Linked DNA regions of Coturnix japonica. The protein of the gene in region 1 interacts with the protein of each later gene in a pairwise test. Links are inferred from orthologs where the notes say so. Each region holds a gene or a part of one and is shown in the gene's direction. Other genes may lie near its edges. The genes, in order: CWF19L2, MTUS2, MEOX1, TRIM54, NAB2, TRIM37 and CARD9.

What was found.
Region 2: the proteins of CWF19L2 (region 1) and MTUS2 interact in binary tests that used the Homo sapiens proteins (3 or more experiments, as listed by UniProt). The two-hybrid records come from large-scale screens. The link is inferred for Coturnix japonica from reciprocal best matches to the Homo sapiens genes CWF19L2 and MTUS2.
Region 3: the proteins of CWF19L2 (region 1) and MEOX1 interact in binary tests that used the Homo sapiens proteins (3 or more experiments, as listed by UniProt). The two-hybrid records come from large-scale screens. The link is inferred for Coturnix japonica from reciprocal best matches to the Homo sapiens genes CWF19L2 and MEOX1.
Region 4: the proteins of CWF19L2 (region 1) and TRIM54 interact in binary tests that used the Homo sapiens proteins (3 or more experiments, as listed by UniProt). The two-hybrid records come from large-scale screens. The link is inferred for Coturnix japonica from reciprocal best matches to the Homo sapiens genes CWF19L2 and TRIM54.
Region 5: the proteins of CWF19L2 (region 1) and NAB2 interact in binary tests that used the Homo sapiens proteins (3 or more experiments, as listed by UniProt). The two-hybrid records come from large-scale screens. The link is inferred for Coturnix japonica from reciprocal best matches to the Homo sapiens genes CWF19L2 and NAB2.
Region 6: the proteins of CWF19L2 (region 1) and TRIM37 interact in binary tests that used the Homo sapiens proteins (3 or more experiments, as listed by UniProt). The two-hybrid records come from large-scale screens. The link is inferred for Coturnix japonica from reciprocal best matches to the Homo sapiens genes CWF19L2 and TRIM37.
Region 7: the proteins of CWF19L2 (region 1) and CARD9 interact in binary tests that used the Homo sapiens proteins (3 or more experiments, as listed by UniProt). The two-hybrid records come from large-scale screens. The link is inferred for Coturnix japonica from reciprocal best matches to the Homo sapiens genes CWF19L2 and CARD9.

What each region holds. Positions count from the first base shown.
Region 1 is NC_029516.1:161,551,275-161,554,774, forward strand, and holds part of CWF19L2 (CWF19-like protein 2), read left to right. Parts: intron 1-507; coding exon 508-623; intron 624-2,189; coding exon 2,190-2,887; intron 2,888-3,500.
Region 2 is NC_029516.1:157,080,212-157,083,711, reverse strand, and holds part of MTUS2 (microtubule-associated tumor suppressor candidate 2), read left to right. Parts: intron 1-1,353; 5' UTR 1,354-1,657; coding exon 1,658-3,500. UniProt on the Homo sapiens protein: Binds microtubules. Together with MAPRE1 may target the microtubule depolymerase KIF2C to the plus-end of microtubules. May regulate the dynamics of microtubules at their growing distal tip.
Region 3 is NC_029542.1:2,906,934-2,911,199, forward strand, and holds the start of MEOX1 (homeobox protein MOX-1), read left to right. Parts: upstream 1-1,466; 5' UTR 1,467-1,729; coding exon 1,730-2,156; intron 2,157-4,266. UniProt on the Homo sapiens protein: Mesodermal transcription factor that plays a key role in somitogenesis and is specifically required for sclerotome development. Required for maintenance of the sclerotome polarity and formation of the cranio-cervical joints.
Region 4 is NC_029518.1:95,417,684-95,421,626, reverse strand, and holds the start of TRIM54 (tripartite motif-containing protein 54), read left to right. Parts: upstream 1-1,143; 5' UTR 1,144-1,210; coding exon 1,211-1,378; intron 1,379-1,518; coding exon 1,519-1,691; intron 1,692-2,084; coding exon 2,085-2,256; intron 2,257-2,350; coding exon 2,351-2,446; intron 2,447-2,690; coding exon 2,691-2,924; intron 2,925-3,010; coding exon 3,011-3,033; intron 3,034-3,187; coding exon 3,188-3,312; intron 3,313-3,395; coding exon 3,396-3,488; intron 3,489-3,627; coding exon 3,628-3,666; intron 3,667-3,943. Other genes in the region: DNAJC5G (dnaJ homolog subfamily C member 5G), read left to right, coding at 113-257, 496-578. UniProt on the Homo sapiens protein: May bind and stabilize microtubules during myotubes formation.
Region 5 is NC_029544.1:1,653,891-1,657,932, reverse strand, and holds the start of NAB2 (NGFI-A-binding protein 2), read left to right. Parts: upstream 1-1,242; 5' UTR 1,243-2,051; intron 2,052-2,609; 5' UTR 2,610-2,617; coding exon 2,618-3,403; intron 3,404-3,488; coding exon 3,489-3,622; intron 3,623-4,013; coding exon 4,014-4,042. Other genes in the region: NEMP1 (nuclear envelope integral membrane protein 1), read right to left, coding at 450-516. UniProt on the Homo sapiens protein: Acts as a transcriptional repressor for zinc finger transcription factors EGR1 and EGR2. Isoform 2 lacks repression ability.
Region 6 is NC_029534.1:5,943,805-5,947,776, reverse strand, and holds the start of TRIM37 (E3 ubiquitin-protein ligase TRIM37), read left to right. Parts: upstream 1-1,172; 5' UTR 1,173-1,365; coding exon 1,366-1,386; intron 1,387-1,608; coding exon 1,609-1,710; intron 1,711-2,878; coding exon 2,879-2,919; intron 2,920-3,416; coding exon 3,417-3,533; intron 3,534-3,972. Other genes in the region: SKA2 (spindle and kinetochore-associated protein 2), read left to right, coding at 292-424, 508-634. UniProt on the Homo sapiens protein: E3 ubiquitin-protein ligase required to prevent centriole reduplication. Probably acts by ubiquitinating positive regulators of centriole reduplication.
Region 7 is NC_029532.1:6,405,231-6,407,914, forward strand, and holds part of CARD9 (caspase recruitment domain-containing protein 9), read left to right. Parts: intron 1-254; coding exon 255-434; intron 435-608; coding exon 609-758; intron 759-1,209; coding exon 1,210-1,335; intron 1,336-1,450; coding exon 1,451-1,642; intron 1,643-2,134; coding exon 2,135-2,176; intron 2,177-2,512; exon of another isoform or gene 2,513-2,684. UniProt on the Homo sapiens protein: Adapter protein that plays a key role in innate immune response against fungi by forming signaling complexes downstream of C-type lectin receptors.

The sequences.
Region 1 (3,500 bases):
ATGCACGCTGGTATGAGTAGCAGGGATCAGTGCTTTATGAAGGGTGACAGGCATTGGTGGATACATATCCTGAGTGTTAAGACCTCATGCTAACTTCTTAAAGGAGAAGCAAGGGATTCCTCTTCAATTTTCTGAGAAGGAAAATGCACTTGTTTGTATTGGATAGATGTGCCAAAGAACAGACATAGGAGGTAGAAACACTGAGAAGGTTCTGTAAGTTCATTTATAAAAATCCCACAGCTTTTTGTGTGCTGCTTCTGTATTGGAAGATTTATGTTGTGTTCTGTGACAAAAGAGAAACTTAATCAATAGTATGACTGAGGTACACTTGACTGAACTTATAAAAATGTGTAATTGCATTATTATATTCCTTCTATTCTTCTTTTGCATCCCACCAGTTATTACATTAACTTCAGGTGAAGGTTTAATGTCACATAAAGAGCAAGATTTAAATAGAAGTAACTACTGAAATACAAAATTATGACTTCTCGTTATTTTCCATTTTAGTTACAGTGGTAGAAGATGCTGGTTTAAGTTGGTTACGAAAATCATATCAAAGAATGAAGGAGCAAGCTGAGAGAGAGAAACGAAATATTGAGGAAATTGTAGCTGAAAGATATGGGGTAAGGATCTTCAATTATTTTTTTTATACTAATAGGTGCTTGGAAATGGTTACTTTCATGTAAAAAGCACAAATACTTAATGTGTGGTGTCAGAAAGAAGCAGTAGGAAAGAAGCAGGAAAAGGCAGCCTCTTAAGAAGTGATGAAGAGTTAAATGCTATCCAAATTCATTTAATATCTTTTTAGTTTAATATTATACATACTATAAAATTATATTATAAACATTATAAATATTATTTAGATTTTAAATCCCATATATTGAAATAATTTCAGTTACAAAGTACCTGAGTGCATTAGAAAATTGTGATAGTTATTAGAAAATATAATTTTTTTCTGCTCATACAGCTTGTGGGTAATAATAATTTCAAAGTAATTTGGAGAACTACCAGATCTGAATCTTCTGGTCTCTTGTCCCTGTGTATTGAGAAAGCTGTATGCTTCTGAAGAGTTTAAAAACTCCTTTATTAAGTCTGCCATAACAATATTAGAATCATAGAATTATTGTATCATTTGAGTTGGAAGGCACCTTTAGAAGTCCTCTAGTCTAACTCCCCTGAAATGAACAGGAACATCTACAGCTAGATCAGATTGCTCTTTAAGGCCTATTCAGATGTGTGGGCTGATAGTATTTAATCTTGGCTGTAGTTTTATTTTTGAGTTCTGTGTTTGTGGTGTGTGTGGTTTTGGGTTTGGTTTGGTTGTGAAAATCTTGAGTAAGACCATGTGAGTTCATACAGTTGTTTTGTCGCTCCTGAATGATGAAACCAGCAACATCAGCACTGGTGGAAATCGGTTGGTGCCAGTGAATTTAAGGAATATTATTTTTAAGAGTCTTTTTCAAGAAACTAGGATTTAAACACACAAACACTCAAGCTGCTGTGGTACAGGGTAGTGATTGAAAGAGATCTTAACCAGGTATGCCTCAGTATGTACTGTTTTTAGATGGATCTTTAAGATCCCTTCCAGTCCAAGCCATTCTATGAAAAACATGTGTTTAATGGCATTTAACTCAGCTCCAAAGAAAGAAGAGGAACAGTTCACATTTTGTATATTTGGCTAATGGATAGGTTTTTGATTTTGAGCTTTTTCTCCTGTGTTTTTAAGGGTACAACTGGATGATAAAATAGTTTAGTGGGAGCATCCGTTGGTTCTGTAAAAACTGAACATCCAGTAAGCATAAATGTTAAGTCCATGAGCAGGTAAGAAGAAACCTTTCTTCCCAGCTCATGCCTCTTATCGCTGAGTTAGCTGGAAGAAGCAGTTCTAAAGCTGTGCTTTCTGTTCCCAGGAGTGTTCAGCACTTTACAGTAGAGCCACTGAATGAAAGTTAGAAACAGTCTAAGATAAGGAATCAGAATGCCTTCCCTGTGGAGCGCTTTAGACTGTAAACTATTAATCCTTTTTTTTTTGTTGTTGTTGTTTGATCTTCCTTTCCACTCCATGGCTCATGGTTCTGCACAGTGATACATTTTCACAGAATGGTGCCTTTTTTGTAATATTTCTTAGGGAGCTTTACAATATTCCACAAGTTTAAAAGCAGCATGATCTTTTTTGTTCTTTCTTGTAGTCAATGGAGGCATTTCAGTCACGGTTAGAAGAAGCTGAAAAAGTTGCACCCAAGAAGGAAAATGATTATAGAAGTGGTAGGTGGAGAAAACCTGACTACTCAGAACATGAGAAGAAAGGACATCGTATGAAAGATGAGACACGACACGGAGATGGTAGACACATGTCTGGGGGACATACAAGGGAGAAGTATGGCAAAGGATGGGCACAAGAAGACAGAGGTTACAAAAAAGATGGATCAAGTTTGGACCAAGAACGTGGACACAGCAGTAGAGACTCAGAACTGAGAGGCTATAGCTCCAAAGTAGAAAAACACTTGGATGAAAAGCGAAGTAAAGAGAAGAGTGTGTCTCTAAGTGACATAAAACATAAATTTCTGAAACCCTCTGATGATGACCCGTCATCCTACAGTGCATCTGGGGACTACAGGTCACACGGGTCTTCTTCAAAACTACCTCTACATAGCTCTTTAAGCAACCGTTTCCAAAAACCTAGTGAGGATACTCCGTTGTGGAACAAAACACACACGCAAGGTAACCATGAAAGATCGATGTCTGATCAGAAGCCATCAGATACTGCAGCAAAAAATGATGGTGAAAGAACTCAAAGTTTTGACAAAGAGAAATCACGAGAGGAGTACCCAGCCAGTATCCCTGAGAAGAAACAAACGTTGTCTGACAATGTAACAGCATGTTCTAGGTATTTTACAAACGCCTTTTCTTGCCTTTGGTTTGTCTGTATTGTTCATGGCAAAGCGTACCTAAAATGTTGTCTTTATTATCATAGTATCCAGTCTGTCCATGTCAGATCTCTTTGATTAGGTGGACACTTGTCCACTTGTCTCCCAGCTAGGCACAGCCAAAATGGACCTGTGTGGAATTAATGAACACCTCTCTTTCTCCTTGGCATATTTAAGAATTGCCAGTTACAGATTATTTTGCTGCTTCTTTGTTAGTTCACTGTACAGTAAAATTGTGTGTGATTGTTCATGGTCTGCATGTGTGGGGTGACAGGGTTTAGTCAGAAAATGTTCTCAAGTATAATTCCTTGTTTGTCAAATGCTCCTATCAGTTATTTGCATTAAAAGTTCTTATAGCAAGGTTATGGGTTCACTTTTAATGTTTAAATGTTGGATTCTAGTAACAAGACAATACCTTATAATTCTTTATTTAACATACAACTGTTCCTACACGTAGTACTTTCAGAAACCCTGCAGTGTATCTGCAAAGGTAAATTGTGCATTAAGGCAATACTGTGTGACTAACTAAAGACAAGTGGCTGAGTCTACACAGTTCTTTGTGTTGCACAGGTT
Region 2 (3,500 bases), about 4.5 Mb from region 1:
GTCAGGTCTGAGATATCTGAGGCACAGTGAGGACATAAGGTGAAGATGGTCACCTAATGCGTGGGAATGAGGAAAAGACAGAAGCATTTAATAGTGTGGGGTTTTTTGCCTTAGTTTGTAATATTAATGCTACCCAGTCGTTGAGTTGAAGAATCATGACTGGGGGAATAAAACTTTCCATTCACCAAAATAAATTGCAAGTATCAGCTTATCATTCATCAGTCCACGGGCCTGATGGATTCACTTCATAGTACTGAGGGAGCCAGCAGATGTTACAGCTGGATCCCTCCCAACAACTTACCAAAGGTCTTGGGAGTCTGGGGAGGTCCCTGCCAGCTGGCTGCTAGCCACCATCATACCCTCCTACAAGAAGGGCATGAGAGAAGACCCAGATAATTGTCAAATTACTAATGCAGGACTTTTCCTTTGAGCCCACACTGACTGTGCCTGGTAATTGGTAATTTGATATAATTCTATGTATTATAACATCACTGCTGAGTGGATGAAGGGGATCTGATTGCATCAGTGGATGTAATCTTTCTGGACTTTAGTAAGGCTTTGATGCCATCTCTCACAGCATCCTTCTGAACAGACTGTCCAGCTGTGAGATGAACAGGATCTTGTTGTGCTGAGAGATGAACTGGCTGCAGCTCAAAGTGCTGCAGTGAATGGAGCTGCATCTGGCTGGAAGCTGCCACTGGCAGTGTTCCCCAGGCTCAGTTCCAGGGCCAGTTCTGCTCAACATCTTAATTGGTGATCTGGATGTATCCTTAGCAATTTTCCTGATAGTACTAAACTGGGAGATGCTGCTGAGTCCCTGGCTGGAGAGCAGCTCAGCAGAAGGGATCCACATCCCTGTGCAGGTGACAGCAGCTCAGCATGAGTCAGAGCACAAGCAGAGCAGTGACTTGTGCAGCACAAAGGAAGAAACCCACCAATGCCCCCTAATAGAGCTGGAATTTTAATACTTAATCTTGTCTCTACAGTAGTGCTTTAAAAACTTCAGTAGCATTTCTTGGTGCAGTAAAGGTCAATATCTTATAGCAGTATGAAAGTGCTCAGAGCCTTGATGTGGGGTTCTGTCCTTAGCTGCTTACAGCAATCAACAGTTTTAAATCTATGTGTCAGTAGCAACTTGCCTTCTAACCAGGACAGTTTTAACTATGTCTTCTCAAGTCAGAGATCTGGGCTACATTAGGAAGCTCTGCTGAGGGCAAAGCTGTGGCTGAAAGAGAATCTGAACTGTCCGAAAGCTCTCCATTTTGGAAAATTTGCCACTTTTAACCTTATTTTTAGTTAGTATAACTCATGATATTCATGTAACGTAGTCTATTTTTTTTTGTTTTCTCATAGGTTGGCTGGATTAACTGGCTGTCATTCAGAGGGAACTTGACAGATCTATTTTGCTTTCGTTGAACCTCTCTACTGCATTCATAAGGATTTCCTGGATCCAGAAGCTGCACTGGAGGCAACTGAGCAGCACAAAAATGTGACTTTGACAAGAGACTCCGAGCCTTCTGCTGAGGAATTTCTTACTGATCAGTTTGTAATTTAAGCCTAAAACTGAAGCACGCATAATAGTTTGTTAATCTGATAGGGGACAAAGGCTTTCTCATTACCTAGGGCTGCCAAAAAGGCAGTCACTGGAAGCTTCAGAATGAGTGCTCCATTAGTCCCAAACAAATCATGTTATTCCCAGCTTCAGGACAATCGCAGTGAGATAAAAAATAATAATGAAAGCACAGTGAGCGTGGGGGATAGCAATGCCAACCAAATCATGACAAAGATTAGAACCACGGAGGGGGAAATCAAGAAACAGGGTTTGACAGATGAAGGTGGAAATGTACACTCTGGAGGATCGGAGAGAGTTACTTGTCTGGATACAGAACAGAATAAACTGGTGCTCAGAGACTCTCGGACCTGTAACACTGGTATACAAGAAAGTAAGCTGCCTTCAACCACAAGCAGGGAAATAGGGAAGGACAGCAGGGCCAGTGAAGTTAAGGATATAGCAAGGCATATCAGGATGAGCCGAGGACAAAGTCTGTCCAGTTTAAAAAGCAGCACAAATGATGCTAACCTGGAGATCATTTCTAAAGGTGATGTTGACTTCACCCAGAATTTTCCTAAGGGTAAAATGTCCAGGACTGTGGAGATGGAAAGAATAAAAAGGCTCTCTTTGGGCAGACCCAGTAAATTTTCTCCTCAATCTGAAACACTTACAAAAGAATGTGTTGGCCGTGTGTCTTGTAAACGTCTGCTTTCCGCATCATTGGATTCCATTGACAGGTCGCACCATTTGATTGGAAATACAGAGAAATCACAAAAAACTTCCACAGATCATTTTCTTGGGATGGTGTTTCATCCACTCGACAATACCTCAGAGGAAAATACTGTCTTTTATTCCAAACCATCTACCTCAGGGAACAAGAAAATAAGTAAACCAGAAAACGTACCAAATGTTAACACCGAAAGCACACTGCATACTTCTCATACCCATCATCATTCAGCTGTTAAGCCCAGTGAGATTGCTAGTAAATCAGAAGCACAATTAAGTCAGGGTGATAAAAGTAAGAAGCTGGAGCTTAAGGCTGTGACATCCCTACAATCTAAAAACACATGTCAACAAAAGACTGAGAGAATTATGGTGGTAGAGTTTCTGGGATGTAAAAAAGATGGAAGTACAACAGTAAAAGAACAGAAGGAGTCTGGCTCTGACGCATCAACATTTCAAACATCCCATTTTCAAGACATCTGTGATAAAGCAGAGGATCCTGTGTCAAATCAGGTTGTAACCTCTTCTGATGACAGACTGCAAAGTGATAACTTCACCATCCACGGGGAAGGAAGAGAAGGACATGACAGTGACAGTGGGGCAGCTACCCAGCTTAGTGAGGAAGACAGAGAAGTGGAAACAATATTCCCACTCACCTGTGATGGTAATTCCAGTAGCAAAGTGACACCTATTAAAAACAAAAATTTACATGAAGATGATGCAGGCTGTGCTGAAACAGTTGGTGAACAGGTATCTCACATACAAAATGTGTATCTTCCTGATAGCAAACCCTTGCAAGTTAATGAGGATAAACTGATGCTGGTCGAAGGAAGCACTGAGGAAGCTGCCTTGCCTGCTTCTGATCTCTCTGAGCATGACAGAGTGTGCAGCACAGAGACAGTGTCAAACCAACAGCCTGACGACCATGTCAGTGACGTGGAAACCTTCGTGGTTCCAAGTAAAAAGACAATCCCTGCCCAGAAACATCCTCCAGATGAAGCACAAGAGAGCTATAAGGTTTCGGCAAAGGCTGACACTTTTTTATGTGTTCCAACTCATATGCGCCCGGTGGCAGTGCTGGATGTTAACAGTCAGCCCACACTATCAAACAGTAATTTGAAGGACCTATATGCACTTCCCATTGACAAACTGTCACCCTCCTCAGTCCTACCTCATGCTGACAGTACGCAGATGATGAACATATCCCCCAAAGTGCCTATGAAGA
Region 3 (4,266 bases), on another chromosome or scaffold:
CCCCAGCATGACTTCGGTGGGTGAACACAAGTGAAATATTCTGCATTGACAAAACCACTCTAGGCTATACCATGGACCCTTCTGGTGCCCAAAATATCCACACATCCTTTGCCACCTGGCCTTCCAGACAGAGCAATCTGTTCTTTTTCCTCCTGCCAGGCAGTGGGAAACGTGTCTGAATGTTTGCTCTCTGAACAGATTGAATTATGTAGGAGAGCCCTTCCTGGAGGATGATTTGTGTTTGGCATTTTGCAAGAGAGTCACATTAATGTGAAGGTAAAAGGTGATGTTCTTGATCAGAAAGATCTGGGCTAAGCCCACCTGATTGCTTGGAAAAGCCCAAGCTATAACCCAGCAGGGATTGGGATGAGCAGACTTCTCCCTCCATTTGATTCCTTTAAATGTCACAACTCTGAATTATACAGAAGCCAAATAAAAGTAGCACTTAAAGCACTTAAAGAAAGAAAAACGGAGGCTCTGTGCCCATCTGATAAATCCCTCTGTGTCTACGAGAGCACAAACTCAGCCCAAATGGTGGGATAAAGGGAAAGAGGCGCACACCTATAGGGAGGCATAGCAAAGCAATGGAGCAGGTCGCAAGCAGATTACAGAAACACAGCACATGTGGCTGTATAAATTACCCCTAAAAACACACAAACAGTTGCAGTAACCCCAGTGCAGCCCTGCAGTGATATTTGGGGTGTTCCCAGGTGCCAACCCTCTGTGTCAGAGGGATGGAGAGCAGATTCCCTGCTAACACCCATGCAGCAGCAGCGGCAGCTCCGGGGTCTGCGAATCTGCTTTGTGTTAAGAAGAACCATAAAACTTTCAGCAAAAGATGAAAAACACGTCTCACATTGGCACAAAGGCAGATTTCCTTGTAGGAAGGAGTGGCATAAAGTAGGATAGAGAAAGAATAACTGCCACCAGCAGTAACCATCAGCAAATACAAGTGTTACCGAGCTAAAAGAACAATAATCCCTCCAAAACTTTGCACGTGCACAAAAGTCACCTAAAACAAAACGTTACAACCAGGCCTTAAATCAGTAAATAATCAGTGAAGTGCTTTCTTACTTTTATTTCCCACTTCGCTTCTTGGCTTCAGGAATCTGCTGAATTCCGTATGAAGGGCTTTTTCCAACCTCAAAACTCGGGGAATTTTGTTAACAGTGCAATAAAAATAACTTCATAGTGTCACAGGGAAACATTAAAGCCCTTTTTTGTGCACTGCTCTTCCCTCCCCCCTACCCCTTTTTTTCTTTTTTGGGGGGGAAGAAAAAAATACAGACATTGTTTCTTTAAAAGTCTCCATCTGCAAATCCCATTAGATGTGCATATAAGGTTTCGGATGATTAATAGGTGCTGCTTTGCTTTGGTTGGAGGGAGCGGGTGTGTGTACGTTAACCCCTCCCTCCCCTCTCTCACATTTCACTTCACAAAGTTGTCACTCTCTCCCCAACATAGTATTTAAAAAGTGTTTCCCTCATGTCCAGCACTTCACAAGGACTCCAGCATCAGCTTTGGGACTCTGTTTGGGGCGATCGCCTCCTCCATCCATTTGGGACAATGAACACCTCAAGAAGAGTTTCCAAACTAACAAACCTCCAACCTCACAAACCCCCCAGCCAAAGTGTCGTTTAGGGAGGAAATCTGGGCTGTCAAATCTGGAAACATTTCCCCTCCTCTCCTCTCCTGCTTGAGGAACCTGAGTGACGAGCGTGGGACGAGGATGAACCCCACCGGAGGCAGCTGCATGCGCAGCCCCCAGTCCCCAGCCCCACTCTGGGGGTGCCTGCGGGGTGCCGACGTCCCCACAGCCCCAGGGTTGGGTCACTGCCCCCCAGCCCCTTTCTCCTTCCACCCCAAGGTGGATTTTGCTGCTTATTCTGAATTCTCAGCCTCCTGCTTGCTGAGCTCTGCCCACTGCGTCCCACCTGAGGAGCAGCCCCCAGCTTTCCGTCCTCACTCTGAGTGGCAGCAAGCAACAACAGAGGCCAGGAGACTGCTGAGCCCAGGGCTGGTGTTGGCCTCTGGGGACACAGAGAGCCCCAACGTCGTGAGCACAGCAGCGGGTGTAAGTGAAGATTACGAGGTGCCAGTAAACAGCACGATGGAGACAGAGAGAAAAGGATCCAAAAGGAAAAAGGAGCACTCAGGTAGGTGGCGTGGAAGTGGGGGTGTGGGGTGGGATGGGGAGAATATCTCATGGAGTAAAGCTGATGGAGGAAATATTTTGTGATTCTTGACTAGGGAAAACTATGCAATATCTCAATGGAAATGAAGTTGCTTGTCCCTTGATGACCTTTGGTGTTTGAGTTTTGCTCCTTATTGGCTGAACCCAACCCTTTAGGCAGCAGCTCAGTGCCAACTCAGTGCCATGCTGCGCTCAGAGCCCTAGGATGGCAGATCCATCCCACTGCTCTGCTGCAGTCCAAGGGTGATAGAATGGGGATCAAAGGGCTAAGGTCCCATCAGCTGCCCGTGCTAGCTGGGAATGCCACTCTGGGGTTTTGAACTGCCCACCAGTAGAATGCCCAGCAACATGGGAAACAATCAGTTTTCATTGTGCCATCCTTGCCAACAAAGCACCTTCTTCCTGAAGCATTCAGGAATTACAGACATAAGACATCTGGTTTGTTACTATTTCAGTTCTCCCGATATGTGAAATATGCAGAACATTGCTTTCTCCTAAGGAAGCTGTTAAGATTCAGATGCTTCCATGCAGACATTTTCTACAGTATTCATTTGCAAACCACAGAGTATTGAGAAGCAGAGGGTATTTTCCAGCATCCCCATTTTATGGTTTCAGAGCCAAGACATGGAAATGTTTCTAAGATGTAGAAAAGATCAAAATGCACTTAAATCCTCAAAACTTTCTTTAAAGAACCAATAGATTCAGAGCAGCTACAGAACGGTTTCACTGTGTGATAGTAATAGGAGTATCTGCAGTAAGACCTCACGTGTGAGCACACACATCCCCTTCTCTTCCTCTACCAGTGTTCATTATTTAGATGCCATTTTCAGCCCTGGTGTCCCAGGCACAGCAGTGACCTGAAGATGTCAGTTGGCTTTGGGGGAGCTTTCACAGCTGCCCCTGTGCCTGCCACCCTCTATTCTATGCTGTACAATTTAGCAAAGCATTTATAGAAACCCCTTTGCAATTACAGCATTAAAGAGGCTGAAAGGTGTTGTAATGACTTTGGGCTTCATACATCTTTCATTTACTACCAAGGAAAGACCTAACAACACCACTCAAGCAGCAAGGAAATTCCAAGCCCTAACCCTAAACTAAATTAGCCTTTAAAAGCATAAGATAAGCACTGAAAGTTCTGGGATGCCCACTGGGTGGAGGTTGAGTCTAAAGAAACGCCTCCCTCTGATTTCACACGTTGAATGTTGTTGAGAATGGCCAACTGCAGACAGGCAGTTTGGATACCCCAACTTTAGCTGATGATTAAGGCATGAGCTGAAGGATAAGACAGCAAGAAATAGGCATTGCTGTAATGATGTGTAGTAACATAGTGATTCTGACAACTTTGCTAAGTCATGCCTTTGGGTAAAGAGGGTGCTTCATGCTTTCAGGTCCCATTAACAGCCACAATGGCATAGAAAGCAGAACATAAGGGCAGGTAGAAACTGAAAACCTGAGCAAGAAAAGTGTAGGGAAGTCCCTCAGCAATTTAAAGTGATCTGGGGGCAGAGCTCCATCTGTCACCACCCCGTGTGCTCCACTCCATGAGGTGCCCACTGAAGTTACTTGTGGTTATTACTTTATCGCTGGCTGCCAAATGAATCAGCTCCCCATGAAGTCACTTCACTTGGCCAACGTTCCCAAGAGCTTTCAGGATTTTATGCCCCGTGTGACAGCAAAATCCATCTTACTACTTGATTTGCAATAAATCTGCCCTCAAACTCTTTACTAGGGGGAGAAAGCAACGTTATGCAGATACTTTGGATTTTTATTATGCCTTCTGCTGAGGGAAAAACTGCACTGACAGTGGTTTGCAGAATAACAAGCACCAGGTGCCTCCACCAGGGCTGTGGATCACCACAATGACCAAACAACCTGTGTTACCATTGGTGACCCCCATGCTTGAGCTTAAGCTGCTCTGAGGGATCGGAGAACCCCCTGAAATGCCCAAATCCTGCATTGTGTGGTCCTTTCACCTTCCCCAAAGCAGTTTGCCAGCTAAGCCTCTCTGCCATACATCTCCTTTCAACACCAAGTGGGGCACTGCCTGCTCTGTTCCCAGAGGCTATTTCAGA
Region 4 (3,943 bases), on another chromosome or scaffold:
GAGCAGCCCCATGGGTCTCATGGCAATCCCAAGCTCTTAGGGCATATTGGGGGTCTCGGGGAAGCCTCGGGGGTCTCTGGGAAGCCTCAGGCTGTGACATCCCATCCCGCAGGCCCTGGCGCTGTGCTGTGGTTTGCTGACCTGCTGCTGCTGTTTTTGCTGCTGCTTCTTCTGCTGCGGGAAGTGCTGCCCACCCCGCGAGGACGAGTCCTATAAGTACGTCGACCCCAAGGACCTGGAGGCGGACGATGGTGGCGGTGAGTTGGGGTCCAAAATGGTGACCCCCCCCACGATGCTCCCGGCTCACAGAGACCTGCAGGGGGGGCTGCACCGGGCTCGGGGGCTGGTGGGACACGTGGGTTGGGGGCTCTCTCGGTTTCCTTAACAGAGGAACAGAGACATGAGGGCCGTGCTGGTGCCAGGGGCAGCCCCGGATCGCTGCCAGGACCCCAGGACTCCCTCCTGGTTCCACTGACCCACACATTTTCTTTCCAGACCCACAGGTCCCGGTGGAAGCGCAGCCCCCCGCAAGCAACGCCCAGCCCCTGCCTGCTGCCGGAGCCAGGAGCGAGGCATAGGGCCACCTATGTGCCGGAGGGGGGTGGGGGGTAAAGCCTCCTCCGGGACCACCGCCGCTTCCCAAGACCCCATCGTGGGGTGGGGAGGGGGGTGTACAATCTCAGGTGAAACCGTCCTACAGCGCTGTGACTGAGACCGGTAGCACTGTAACCCCGGGGCCGGACCCCCCTGACGGGAGCTGGGTGCCAAACGCTGCTCTGGGGCTGGTATGGGGGGGGAGGAGGAGGGGTCGGAGAGGGGCCTCCCGTCGCGCCCCACTCTGCCTCGCCGTGGGGCCGCACCGCGCTCGTTATGGGGCTGGGACCCTTCAGGCACTTTCCGTGGGTTTGTATATGTTATATGGGCACCATTAAAGGATGATGGGGGGGAGCTCGGCGGTGTCGCTCTCTCGTCTCGGAGCGGCGGCTGTGGAGCCGGGCTGGGGGGGGGCAGCGCCGTGCCGCTCCCGGGGGGCGTCGGGACGGAGTGACCCCGGCGGTGGGACGGCCGCCCGCCGTGACTCAGTGTCACCCGACGCCGCCGACAGCTGCGCGGCCCCGACGGGGCGGGGGCGGCTAAAATTAGCGCTGCGGGGCCGGAGCGGGGCAGTGAGGGGCCGGAGCGGTACCGGAGAGGTACCGGGACCGCGGCGATGAACTTCGCCGTGGGGCTGAAGCCGCTGCTGGCGGAAGCGCGAAGCATGGAGAGCCTGGAGAAGCAGCTACTGTGCCCCATCTGCCTGGAGATGTTCAGCAAGCCTGTGGTCATCCTGCCCTGCCAGCATAACCTCTGCCGCAAGTGTGCCAACGACATCTTCCAGGTGCGGGGCGCAGGGACCGGGCTGTGCCCGGGGTTGGGGGCTCCGTACACGGGAGGAGGGGGGATCTCTGTCTCGGAGCGGTTCGCTAACCCCTCCTTCCCCCCCTGCCCTGCTCTCTCCTTTCCCCCCTGCCCCCCCAGGCCTCCAACCCGCTGTGGCAGTCCCGGGGTTCCGGCGCGGGGCCGTCCGGGGGCCGGTTCCGCTGCCCTACGTGTCGCCATGAGGTCCTGCTGGACCGGCACGGTGTGTACGGGCTGCAGAGGAACCTGCTGGTGGAGAACATCATCGACATCTACAAGCAGGAGTCGGCGCGGTGCGGGGCGGGACACGCGTGGGAGGGAGCCCGTGGGGATGGGGGGGGGGTGATTGGGGCTAAAGGGGCTCAAGGGCACCGTGGGGTGAGGTGGGGCGGGGGATGCCGTGGCTTGTGTGGTATGGAGGGCTGTGCAGGGGACACGAGGGGGAATGAGCCTGGGTGGGGGGGTATTGGGGCTAAACTTGTGGGGCTGGGGGTGCAGTGAGGCGGGGGATGCTACGGGGCAGAGGTGTGCCGTGCCGTGGGGCCGTGCCGTGGGGCCGTGCCGTGTGCCGTGCCGTGGGGCCGTGCCGTGGGGCCGTGCCGTGGGGCCGTGCCGTGGGGCCGTGCCGTGGGGCCGTGCCGTGGGGCCGTGCCGTGGGGCGCAGCGCCCTCTCCCTCCCGTCGCAGCCCCCTGCACGCCAAGGCGGAGCAGCAGCTGATGTGCAAGGATCATGAGGATGAGAGGATCAACATCTACTGCGTCACCTGCGAGGTCCCCACCTGCTCCATGTGCAAGGTCTTCGGTGCTCACAAGGACTGCGAAGTCGCCCCTCTGCAGAGCATCTTCCAGGGCCAGAAGGTGGGTGACCCCCAGAGCCGGGGGGGGGGTCAATGGAGCGGGCGCGGTGGGAGGGGTTTCCCGGTGCGACCCCCGACGCCGCTCCGCCCCCCAGAGCGAGCTGAACAACTGCATTTCCATGCTAGTAGCGGGGAACGACCGCATCCAGACCATCATTTCCCAGCTGGAAGATTCCTGCCGCAGCACTGAGGTGGGGCTGCCCTGTGTGTGCCTTCCCCCCCACACCCCCCCCCCAGGCCCCGCGTGTGGGGTCTGCGTGGTTCGGGACCCCCACCCGGTGTATTGTGCCCACATGGTGGGATGCTCCTGGGAGGGAAATCCCCACTGCAGCCATGGAACGCGGGTGTCCCCAGGGCACAGTGACACAGGGGTGTCCTGTGGGGCCGGGCTGGGAGCGTGGCAGCCCCCTGAGCCCCCGGGGGGGGATCCTACAGGAGAACGGCCGGCGGCAGAAGCAGCACGTGGGGCTGCGCTTCGACTCGCTCTGCAGCATCCTGGAGGAGCGCAAGAAGGAGCTGCTGCAGAGCATCGCCCGCGAGCAGGAGGGGAAGGTGCAGCGCGTGCGCGGCCTCATCCGACAGTACGGGGACCACCTGGAGGCCTCCTCCAAGCTGGTGGAGACGGCCATCCAGGCCATGGAGGAACCTCAGATGGCCGTGTACCTGCAGGTGCCTGGGGGGGGCTGTGTGCGGGGCGCCCTGCGGCTTGGTGCGCTGCTCCTGGGATGCTGACGGCACTCTGCTTTCCCCCACAGCACTCCAAGGAGCTCCTGAAGAAGTGAGTGGGGTAGGGTGAGATGGGATGGGATGGGATGGGATGGGATGGGATGGGATGGGATGGGATGGGATGGGATGGGATGGGGAGGGGGATGAGATGAGGATGGCATGGGGGGGTGGGTGGGCAGGGCTGATGCTGCTTGCTGTACCCCCAGGATCACAGACATGTCCAAGGTGTCGATGAGCAGCCGCCCTGAGCCCGGCTATGAGAGCATGGACCACTTCTCCATCAATGTGGACCATGTGGCTGAGATGCTGCGCACCATCGACTTCCAGCCAGGTGCCAGCATGGGGCGGGCGCTGCCTTGGGGAGGGGACTGCAGCAGGGATGTCCTCACACTGAGATGTGCCTCTGCCCCACAGAAGCGCTGGGTGAGGATGATGGAGATGGACCCACAGACAGCAGTGAAGGTGCAGGGGATGAGGAGAGCCTGGAGGCACCTGAGGCTGCTGAAGGTGAGAGTGTGTTGTGCTGTGCCGTGCTATGCTGTGCCGCAGTCACCACGGTGCTGCCGTGGCTGCGGCGTGGCCATGTACGGTGCATGGTCTCACCATGTGTCCCTCTCTCCACCTGTCCAATGCTTTTTCTCTACAGATGTGGGGCCAAGGCAGAAGCCATTGAGCTCTCCCCATGGTGAGATGCTCTGTGGGGATGAGCAGGGTGTAGGGATGGGATGGGGATGGGATAGAGATGGAGTGGCAGGGGATGGGATGAGGATGGGTGGGGATGGGGTGAGGATGAATGGGGATGAGGATGGGTGGGGAGGGGGGGAGTGAGGATGGGGATATGACAGGGATGGGATGGGGATGGGGTAGCAGGAGATGGGGTGAGGATGAGTGGGGAGGGAGGAAGTGAGGATGGGGATAGGATAGGGATGGGGTGGCAGGGGATGGGGTGAGGATGAGGAGAG
Region 5 (4,042 bases), on another chromosome or scaffold:
CCCCCATTCTCGCACTCTCCATCCCCCCATCTCACACCGCCCTTAACCCAGACAGCCCTCAACCCGAGACCCCCAACCCCTCTCCCCCATCTCATCCATTTCCCCCCCGTTTCCCCCAGCCCCACACAGACCCCAACCCGGACCATACTCACTCCCCCCCCCCATCTTCCATCTCCATTCTCCATCTCCCATCCCCCTGGTTCCCCCCAGTCCCGCCCTCACCCGGGGACCCCCACCACCCCCCATCTCCACCGCATTCCCCCAGCCCACAACCAGAGCCCTTACACCGGACCAGGCCCCCAAACCCGGAGACCCCAACCCCCCGCCATCCCCACCCGAGACTCTAAAGCCGGATCCAGGCTATGGCCGCTCTATGACTCCATTATAGGCCCCCACTAGGCCCGCCCGCTCTCAGCCCATAAAGGCCCATTGTTCCGCCCGCCGCTCACCGGCCCCGCCCGGCGGAGGAGGCAGCGCGAGGAGCAGCAAGAAACACGACCAGGCCCCGCCCGCCATATTGGCACCGCTTTCATCCGCTTTCCCGCCATGGCGTTCCCGGCGACTTCCGCTTCCGCTTTCCCCACGGGACAACACCCAATGAGAGAGCGAGGCTTGCCTGACGTCATCAACCCGTGACGGGATTATCGTCTCCCTGCGTGTTGATTGACAGCGCGCTCGACCTATCAGCACAGCCTAGGCAGGATGCGGATTTAGCCCCACCCACACTCCACCAACGTGCTCCACTCGCTCCCGAAGCCATCCCACACCGTAGGCAACGCAGCCCGCCTTAGCAACGAGCTTGGACAGAGCAAGCCCACCTCAACCAATCAGCCGCTCAGCATCGTTTTCTCCCTCCCTCGCCACCAAGCCGGCTTGATTGACAAGCTCCTCCACCTTATTCACGGAGCGCACCGTCGTTGTTTTGCTTGGGGGGGGGGGTCTACAGCGGGCAGAGGCAGCGCGATGCTCATTGGACCCCACACTGGGGGGGGGGTGGCTCGTAGGGGCTGGATCCCGGGCTTGTTAACCCCCCCCCCCCAATACCCTTGGGCTCTTCGGCATTCCGTGGGCGGGTCGGGCTCACGGGCCGGCCCCCGGGTCAGTGGGCGGCGGAGCCGGAAGCGTGCGGGTCGTGGTGGAGGATGTGCGTCAAACGGGGGCGGCCGGACACGAGGGGGGGGGGGGGGTTGGACATGCATGGCCCTGGGGGGGGGGTCTTAGGGATTCGGACATAGATGGGGTCTATATGGGGTTCGGAATATATGGGCTCTATATGGGCTCTATATGGGCTGTTCCGAACGGGACCCCCCCCCACCTCCCCCCGACGGCTCCGGAACGCGGCGCTGTCGTGTCCCCCCCCCCCACGCGGGGCAGGGGCCGCGGGGGCGGCGGCGCCGGCTCGGTATAAATAGAGCCGGGCTCAGCATGGGGGGGGGGGGGCGATGGCAGAGAAATTCCTCCCCTCCCACGAACCGAACCGGACCCGCTCTGTCCCGGGGCTGCTCGCTCTGAAGCCCCCCCCCCACCCGGTGCCCGGACCCGGCTGCGATCCCATAACCGGGAGGTGGCACCGACACGGTGACAGCCGTGATCCCACTCACATACGGTGTCCCCCCCCCACCCCCCGTAGGCTCCGGTTGCTCGAGCCCCTGCCCGGGACCCCCAACCCCCGTGTCTTCACGTTGCTCTGCCCGACGGGACCCCCCGGTTCCGCCCTGCTCGCAGCCGCTCCCTCCGTCCCGGTTCGGTTCAGGGGGGGGGATGGGGCGGTCCTACGGTTCCCCCCCCCCCGTTTCATCCTCCCACGCCGCGCTCAGCGGGGGCGGCAGCCGCGGGTTCCGCCTCCGGAGCCTCCCACGCCGCAGCCGCAGCCGGGGCCGCTGCTATTTCTCGGTACCGCCCGTGTGGGCGGCGCGCAGAGCGGAGCGACTCGGCGGAGCGAACGAGCACGGCCCGGAATCGGGACCCCCGAACACCCCCCCGAGCCCCCCGGTACCGTCCGTCCATGCCCACGGGGTTCGCGTAGCGGCCGGACGGGGCTGCAGCCCGCGGTGAGAGAACGGGAGGGAAACGGGGGGGGGGTCGGAGGGTGAGTCGTGACATCGGTGTCCCCGTGGGGTTGGGGTAGAGCTGGGTGTGTTTTGTTGCACGTGGGGTGGGGGCACGAGTGGGTTCGTGATGTGGGAATGGTGGGGGGGGGTTTATGGTTCTGCCGTGGGGACCCACTCGTGTCTGTGTTGGGATCAGGGGGGATGCGGGTGTGGGGTCCAGCCTGATCAGTGAGCACGCGTGGGCCTGGGTGCAAGGTGGGGTCTGTAGGGGCCAAAGAGGGGGGGGCTGAGACTTTGCTGTCCCCGTGGGGTAGAGAAGGACTGGGGCAGCCCTGGGTGTGCTCTGCCCTAAGCGGTGCCCCATGGGGTGGGAGCACGGGTGGGGCCACGGGGTGTGGGGTCTCCAAGCTCCTCAATGGGGACCCACTCGTGTTTGTGTTGGGGTCGGTGCAGCTGTGGATGCTCAGTGGAGACCCCAGGCCAAAAGGTGGGTGGGGGTGGGGGGGGTCCGTCCGTCCGTCCTTCCCCCGTCACGCCGTCCGTCCGTCTGTCCCATAGGCTTCACCATGGCCGTGCCCCGCACGCTGGGGGAGCTGCAGCTGTACCGGGTTCTTCAACGTGCCAACCTGCTGGGTTACTACGAGACCTTCATCCAACAAGGAGGGGACGACGTGCAGCAGCTTTGCGAGGCTGGCGAGGAGGAGTTCTTAGAGATCATGGCGCTGGTGGGAATGGCCACCAAACCGCTGCACGTCCGCCGACTGCAGAAAGCGCTGCGGGAGTGGGCGTCCAACCCGGGGCTCTTCAGCCAGCCGGTACCGGCCGTGCCCGTCAGCAGCATCCCCCTCTTCAAGCTGAACGACGGCCGCAAATCGCTCAGTAACGGGCACAGCAGCCCCGGAGAAACTGCGGGGAAAGGGGGGGGCAACGCGGGGACGCCCCCAGCCCGCAGCCCAACGGAGCCGTCGGAGAAGTTGTCGCCGTCGGGGGTGTCGCCGTGGCCGGGGAGGAGCACCCCGGAATCGGAGGGTGGAGGGGATGAGGAGCCCGGAGCTCCTCCGTTCTCACCGGGGGGCGCCGAGCAGCCGTCGGGGGGCGATGTGTTGGAACCGGAGTTGGTGCGGACGGTGACGGAGAGCGTGGAGAGGCTGCTGCAGAGCTGCCCCCGGGGGGGGGACGCGGAGCTGCGGGCTCTGTTGAAGCTCAATAAGAAGTTGGCCAAAGCCGTGGGGCACATCTTCCAACTGGAAGACGGAGACCGGCACAAGGAGGAGGAGATCCGACGGCACAGCGCGATCTACGGGCGAGGGGATGCGCGGCGAAGGGAGGGCAAACAGCTGACACTGCACGAGGTGGGGGGCGGGGTGGGGGTCGGGCTGGGCTGGGGGCTCGCTGTGACCCCCCCCCTCGGTGCTATTGACGGCTCTGTCCCCGCAGCTCATCATTAACGAGGCTGCGGCTCAGTTCTGCCTGCGGGACAATTCGCTGCTGCTGCGGCGCGTCGAGCTGTTCTCGCTGTCGCGACAGGTCGCGAGGGAGAGCACCTACCTGTCCTCGCTCAAGGTGTCCAGGTGAGCAGGGGGGGCCCTCAGCATCCCCCCCCCCCCCCAGTGGGGGTTTCCCCTATGGGAGCTGCACCACCGGCAATTCCGGGCGGGGGTGGGGGCTGCGAGTTCCCCTTTCCATTGCTGAGGCAGTTTGGTGCCTCAATGTGTGTGTGTTGGGGGGGGGGGCACAGCACAGGGGATGCTGTTGGAGCCCCCAGTCCCGAGCTCCTTTCCCCCCCCCCACCTCCATAAGCTGGCGCTGCTCTGCTCCCTCCCCCTGCCCCCCCCGCCCCGGTTCCATCTGTACCAGACCCCGCTGTGCCCCACAGCACCGCCCCATAACGTGAGTGGGGGGGGGGAACCGTGCGGTGCTGCCCCCGCACTGACGCAGCCCTTTGTGCTCCCACCCGCACAGGGCGCAGCCCGAGGACGGCGGGGCCGGCG
Region 6 (3,972 bases), on another chromosome or scaffold:
ATCCATTTATCCTTCACAGAAATTAATTCTTGGTTCTTTGTTGTTGTTTTGTCCAACTGGTATCTGACAGAGCACGTCTATTAATGCACATCACATCTCACATCCACATCAGATCATCAGTTCCTTGTGTTTCACTGTGTGTGTAGTGATAACAACAGTCTGGGGGGAGAATCTCCCTCCTCTCCTTCCTCCTTGAGCCCGTTGGGAGCTTTGTTCATGAGCAGTGCAGGTTTCCTCCTCCTTCGCCCTGATTTCTGAAGCACCGACTATCTTCTGTTTGTAACCTTTCAGAGTCGCAGTTCAAACCGCTGACTGAAGAAACCCTTCAGAGTGTGCCCAGGAGTATCAGAAGCACCGTTAAATTAGCAGACTTGAACAACTTGTACAGGCATCTATTTAACCACTTCGTCACAAATAAGAACAGGTAAGTGCTTTTTTTTAACCATTTCCCATCAGAGCTGCTGCTCTGTGTCCTGCCGTGCTCAGCGCTTCCTTCTTGCCTTCCAGAGCGGCGCTGAGCATCTCCCAGATGAAGAAAATGAACATGAAAGTCACTGACACGAGAATACGAGTCCTGAAAGAGCTGGGGATTGTGGAGCTGGACAAACAAGGCAATGTCAGATTGGTCGTGTAAGGGAAGGTCTGGTCTGTGACACACTGTGCCTCGGCCATAGCTCCTGTGTGACTGGCTGGGTGTTGGTGGCTGGGAGCTGCTGGGGCTGTGAGATCTGTGCACTAATCCTGGTTCTGGGACTTAAAGAGCTGCAGAGTGGAACCTGTTGAGGTTGGCATTTGAACGTGGATGTTTACAAGGCTGTGGTATTGCTTGCGTTCCTGAGCGGGGCTTTGAAGAGGAATAGCCTGGGAATACCTCAGGAATACCTCAGGAATACCTCAGGCCACTTCATTGAGCTCACATTCCTGAATAAACGCTGAAAGCAAAGCGGTGTGTCCACAGATTGACTGCTGTGCTGTGTGTGAGTGCTGCGTTTGGGTGGTCGATTCGCACCGAACAGAAGCAGGTTGTGTTGCCATGACGGCAGAGCTGTTCCCCCCTCTCCCACACCGTCATGGCGTCGTGCCTCCCCGCGGCCGTTCCCTCCGTTCCCGCCTCCACCTCATCCCGCCCCGCGGCCCCTCCGCGCGTGCGCAGTGCGTTGCGCAGGGCGGGCTCGTTGCCGGCCGGCTCCTCCCCATCGCCGCCACTATGGCTGCGGCCGGCCGGGCGAGGGGCGGCGTTGCGCTGCTTGGCGGCGGCGGCTCGTAGCGCTCCGAGCGCTCCACGCTTATGCCTTGTGCCCCTCGAGGGCCCTGCGGTCTGCAAAGCGGCGGGGGGAGCCCGGTCCCTCCGGGAGAACCGCGGCCATGGACGAGCAGAGCGTGGAGGTGAGCGCTGAGCGGCGGGCGGCGGTTGCGCTTCCTCAGGGGCGCGGCCCAGGTGTGTGTGTGTGTGTGTGTGTGTGCAAGGAACGATCCCATCGTTACACGGCTGTGAGGTGTGCGGGGCCTGGCGCTGCGTTTGCTGAGCTGGGCGTTGTGCGTGTGTGAATTGTGTGTGTGTGTGTGTGAAGCAGGCGGTGACAACAACCCCGATCTGCCCTTTTCCAGAGCATCGCCGAAGTGTTCCGATGTTTTATTTGTATGGAGAAGCTGCGCGATGCGCGGCTGTGCCCGCACTGCTCCAAGCTGTGCTGCTTCAGCTGCATTCGGGTGAGTGTGCTCCTCCTTATCACTAACTGCTGCGACTCTATCAGCTCGGAACTGCTCTTGGCAATGCAGTGTGTTCCTTCTGGCCCTCCTTGTGCTGTGAGCACTCGGTGTCACTGCGCAGTGCTCCCAGCAGCGTGTTGTGCTCAGCAGCCCTCACTGCAGGGGCTGTGCGAGGACCTATTAAGGAACAGCTGCGTTGTGACCCTTCCTTCAATGTTCGTTCCTCAACTGTCTGTCTTTGTGTGGAGCTTTCTGGAGGAGAAACATCCACAGGGTCCCCAGTGGTCCTCATTGCAGCCTTTAAATACCTGAAGGGAACTTACTCCCAGGAGGGGAGTAAACTCTTGGAAAGGGCTGACAATAGCAGGACACGGGGAAATGGTTTTAAGTTAAAAGAGGGAAGATTTAGGTTGGATGTCAGGGGGAAGTTCTTCACTAGGAGAGTGGTGAGGCCCTGGAACAGGCTGCACAGGGAGGTTGTGGATGCCCCGTCCTTGGAGGTGTTCAAGGCCAGGTTGGACAGGGCCATGGGCAACCTGATCTATGGGGTCTCTATGGGGTCTATGGGGTCTGTGGGGTCTCAATGGGGTCTATGGGGTCTCTATGGGGATCTATTGGGTCTGTGGGGTCTCAATGGGGATCTATGGCGTCTCCTGGGCAACCTGATCTAGTAAAGGTGTATGTTTGGTGGCCCTGCCAGGCAGGGGGTTGGAACTACATGATCCTTGAGGTCCCTTCCAACCCGGGTCATTCTGTGATTCTGTGATTGGTTTGATTGTTGGCCTGTAGGTGTCCAACTTGTGGGCCAGTAGGGGGAAATAAGTTGTTTGTAAGCTGGTCTTTGAGGTATCTATTTGCTGCAATATGTTTGTTGGCCCGTAGCTCTGGGAACCTGCACCAGGTCTGTATGCGGCTTCTGCTGGATCATTGGGTGCTGCAGAATTCCTGCCTTCATTTGAACCAGATAGATTCGAGGACTGCAGCTGTTTCTATGACACAGACAGCAGTTCCTTTTGTAACAAGTGGTTGAATGCTTCAATTTCCAATCTCTACAGAAGGGAAAGTAGAAAATTAATGGGAAGAATTAACTCGTAAATAACAACAGATTGTTCTTGCTTGCAGTTCTTTCCCTGCTGTTTCTTCAATATTTTTCCTTTTTCCTCCCCAGCGTTGGCTGACAGAACAAAGAGCTCAGTGCCCTCATTGTAGGTAAGGGATTCTGAATGCCAGGAATGTGTTACCTGTGTGAATGGAAGGTGGGGGGTATTTTCCCTTAAAGAAGGGGAGGTGTTTGAGAAAACAGCCAGTCATTTTTGCAGAAGTTCATATTCAGCTTTTAAGGTATTTAATCGATAGTTTAAATAGAAAGGCTCATAAGGTGGTATTTCTGTGTTTTATGGAGGTGTTCACAGAGGCACAGCTGAATAATGGGCGGAATTGAAGTGCTGAGAAATGAAGTATTTTCCCAGTGTTACCCAGGAATACCTGAACATAATGGTAGTTCTGGTGTCCCTGCATAGCTGTGGGCTGGTTTGATCTTCCTTCCTCCAGTAAGAACAAGTCAGCTTCAATTGCACTGCTGTATTTCTGAAACAACTGTTGACTTTTTGAGTGACGTGGACTTGGCGAACTGATCTCATCTCATTGTGCTTTTCTAGCTCCCAGAGCACAGTTCTTGCTGTAACTCTTAGCAATGCTTCTTGCAGAGCCCCACTGCAGCTCCGGGAGCTTGTCAACTGTCGCTGGGCAGAGGAGGTCACGCAGCAGCTGGATACCCTTCAACTGTGCAATCTCACAAAGCACGAAGAAAACGAGAAAGACAAGTAAATAGAGCATTCCTCATGTGAAGGGTTTGCAGTTTGCTGCATGGGAATGAGTTTCATCGTGTTCTTATTTTAAGTCAGGGAACAAACTTAGTTGTCTGATTGAAAAGCTGAATGGTGCCACTGCTTAATGGATGTAATCAGTGTTCTCTCTGAAAGGTGGAGTTCATTTCTGTTGCAATAGCACACAAAACTCCTAAATTCTGTAATTTCTCATTTGGATGAGTAGAGCTTACATGAGAGAAAATGTGAGAAGAAGCATTGAAAAATGGGCAGAGACTAAATGTGTGTTCTGTGCCTTCTTCTCCAATTCCTGAAGCTTGGTGGAGGAGCAGGGAGAGACACGGTGGAGGTTTGCCTGGGCTGTGCTTGTGCATAGAACTGACCTTGATTCAGTGGCAGTAATCTCCACCTGCTGGGCTTAAATCTGGTTTGATGA
Region 7 (2,684 bases), on another chromosome or scaffold:
CTGTGCCATGAAGAATCGAGTCTTCCCCTTGTTTGAGGCTGGGCCTTCTCACAAGGGCAATGTAGAACCAGCCTGTTGTACCCATTTAGCACAAAGTCTCAGCTCCCCAGAACACCAGACTTCCTAAGGAACATAGAGCTGGGGAAAAGCTTGCACCATGCTTGCCTGATAAATGGGGAACTCTGCCACGAGAGCACTGCTTTTGCAACCAGGCTTTTGTGTCTGTTACTGATGAGCTCTGAACCTCCTTGTAGATTGACAGCTTGAAGCATAGCCTCATGAAGGCTGAGGATGACTGCAAACTAGAGCGTAAACACTCAATGAAACTGAAGCACGCCATAGAACAGCGTCCGAGCCATGAAGTGATGTGGGAGATCCAGCAGGAGAAGGAGTTGCTTTTGGCCAAGAATCAGGAGCTGGAGAACACTCTCCAGGTTGGTGGGGGGGTGACTGGGTGAGGAATCTAAAGAAATTATTCTTCTATGCAGCCAGCACAGCGATGGAGCTGTACTGAGTGTTTTGAGGGTCAGCTATGGCCTTGTTCTCCCAAGTTGTACAGAGAGCACGTTGGATTTCAGAGTTAGATGGTTGCTGTATCTTTTGTTCAGCAGGTTGCCAGAGAACAGAATTTGGAGAAGAATCTCTCCCGTGAGACTGTGCAGAATGACTGCAGCCAGATACTGGAGCGCAGGGACCTGCTGAACACCCTGTACCACCTCCGCAAGGAGCTGCGCCAAGCCGAGGTGCTCCGAGACAAAGTGTGTGGTGCAGTACAAATCCCTGCTGGGGCTCAGTGGGGTCAGATGGGCAGATTAAGCACATAAAGTGTCTTACCAGTGAAGCAGCAGAGCTGCGAGGCAGCATTCGCTGATGCTTCTATTCTAGGGTCTGTGTTGCAGTTTGAGGGAAAAGATGTGCTAATATTCTAGTGGTCTGAGTCTGTGACATTAACTGTGTTACCTGTTGATGCCTGTGCCTCAGCCTGCAGGGTGATGGGAGCTTATATCATGATTGACAGCTCAGGTACATGTAAAATCTGCCATGTTAGCAGGCTTTCTAGTCATACTGCCTGGTCTTCTGGTTGGCTTTGCTCCGGCAGGGCAGTCTGGCTTTGGTGTTGCAGGGAAGTCTGGCTATAGCAATCTGTGATATAGAGCAGAAGTGATGAGATTCTAGCTTGGGCTCACCCCACAAGCCATGTCTCAACAGTATGCAGAGGAAAAAGAGATACTTGAACTACAGTGCATGTCTCTGAGGAAGGACTCCCAGATGTATAGAAAACGGATGGATGCTGTCTTACAGCAGATGGAGGAAGTGGCTTCAGAAAGAGACCAGGTGATAAAACGTTCCTCCAGAAGCTGCTGCTAATCCCTGGCTTGCTGCTTGAAGCAGGCAGGTATTGTAACCCTGAATGTGGTGTCGTGCTACAACACGTTGCCTCTTACACCAGGCACTGCTGACCAGAGAACAGTTCTACATGCAGTACTCAAAGAACCTGATTGAGAGGGATGCTTATCGGAAGCAGATTCGGGAGCTGGGGGAGCGATGCGATGAGCTGCAGCTGCAACTCTTCCAAAAGGAGAGTCAGCTACTGGCTACTGAAACCAAGCTGAAAAGGCTGCAACTGGAGCTGCCTGCACTGGTATGTTTGTGGGGTTATTGTGTGTGATGAGTTGGAAAGTGTTGAGTCTAGGATCCAAATAAGACTGCTTTGAGACACTGAGACCTAACCAATCCGATTTCAGCAAGCAGTGGCCACCTGCTTGGGTAACCATTTATTTCTGTGAAGACGTGATGGTTCTTAGGAGCTCACCCTGGTCTGCTGAAGCCTTACACATTTGGAGTGCTTCCAGACACCATAAAGGCATTGTCACCCACTAAAGAGTGAACTCTGGAGTCTGTACAAGCCATTTGGGTGAAATAGGAGCAGGGTATGAGAGTTCATGGAATTAAATGAGACATCTGAAGACTTGTAATTATTGTGGCATCTTATGTGCTTTCTCCAAATGGTCAGATGAGTGTAGGAGGAAGTTAGTTCACATTTCTATCTTCTGGAGCTTTTGATGTCCTCTGTGTTCCATTGCAGCCATTTATTCACTCATGAGGAGTAACAAACTTACTGGTTTTATTTCAGACTTCTGACCTGGATGACACCTCCTCCAGAGATTCCCAGGATGTGAGTAGGGTGCCTTGTTTATGTTTCATTTTCTCCTGGGATGGTTTCAGCTTCCTCAGTTGCGCTAATTCCCAAAGAAGCAGCAGTCTGTGCTCCATGGGTCAGGCTCACAGCAGTGACATCAAGTCCTGAGGCAGCAAAGCAGGCTAACAGCTAAGGGTGGCTTCTCCTTATGTCCTGAGACTTCTGACCATGGGGATGCAGCTGTGATAAGATTTAAGTCCAAGCAGACCAGAAGATTCAAATTATTTTGCATTGCTTCTAATCTCTCTCTTATGAGAGAATGTGCAAAAATAAGTATTATCCTGAGAACATGCGTAGAAAAGAGGGTTTTGGTTTTTTCCAGCTTAGTTCATAACTGTGGTAGGGGTTGTCACATTGTCTGGAGACAAAATGAATGAGCCCATAGTCATGGAGGATAAGTCTGTGTGTAGATACACAGCTTCTAGTTCAGAATGTTTCCTGTTTTGCTTACAGCAAGATGCAGTGGGGGAAGGTCGGTTATATG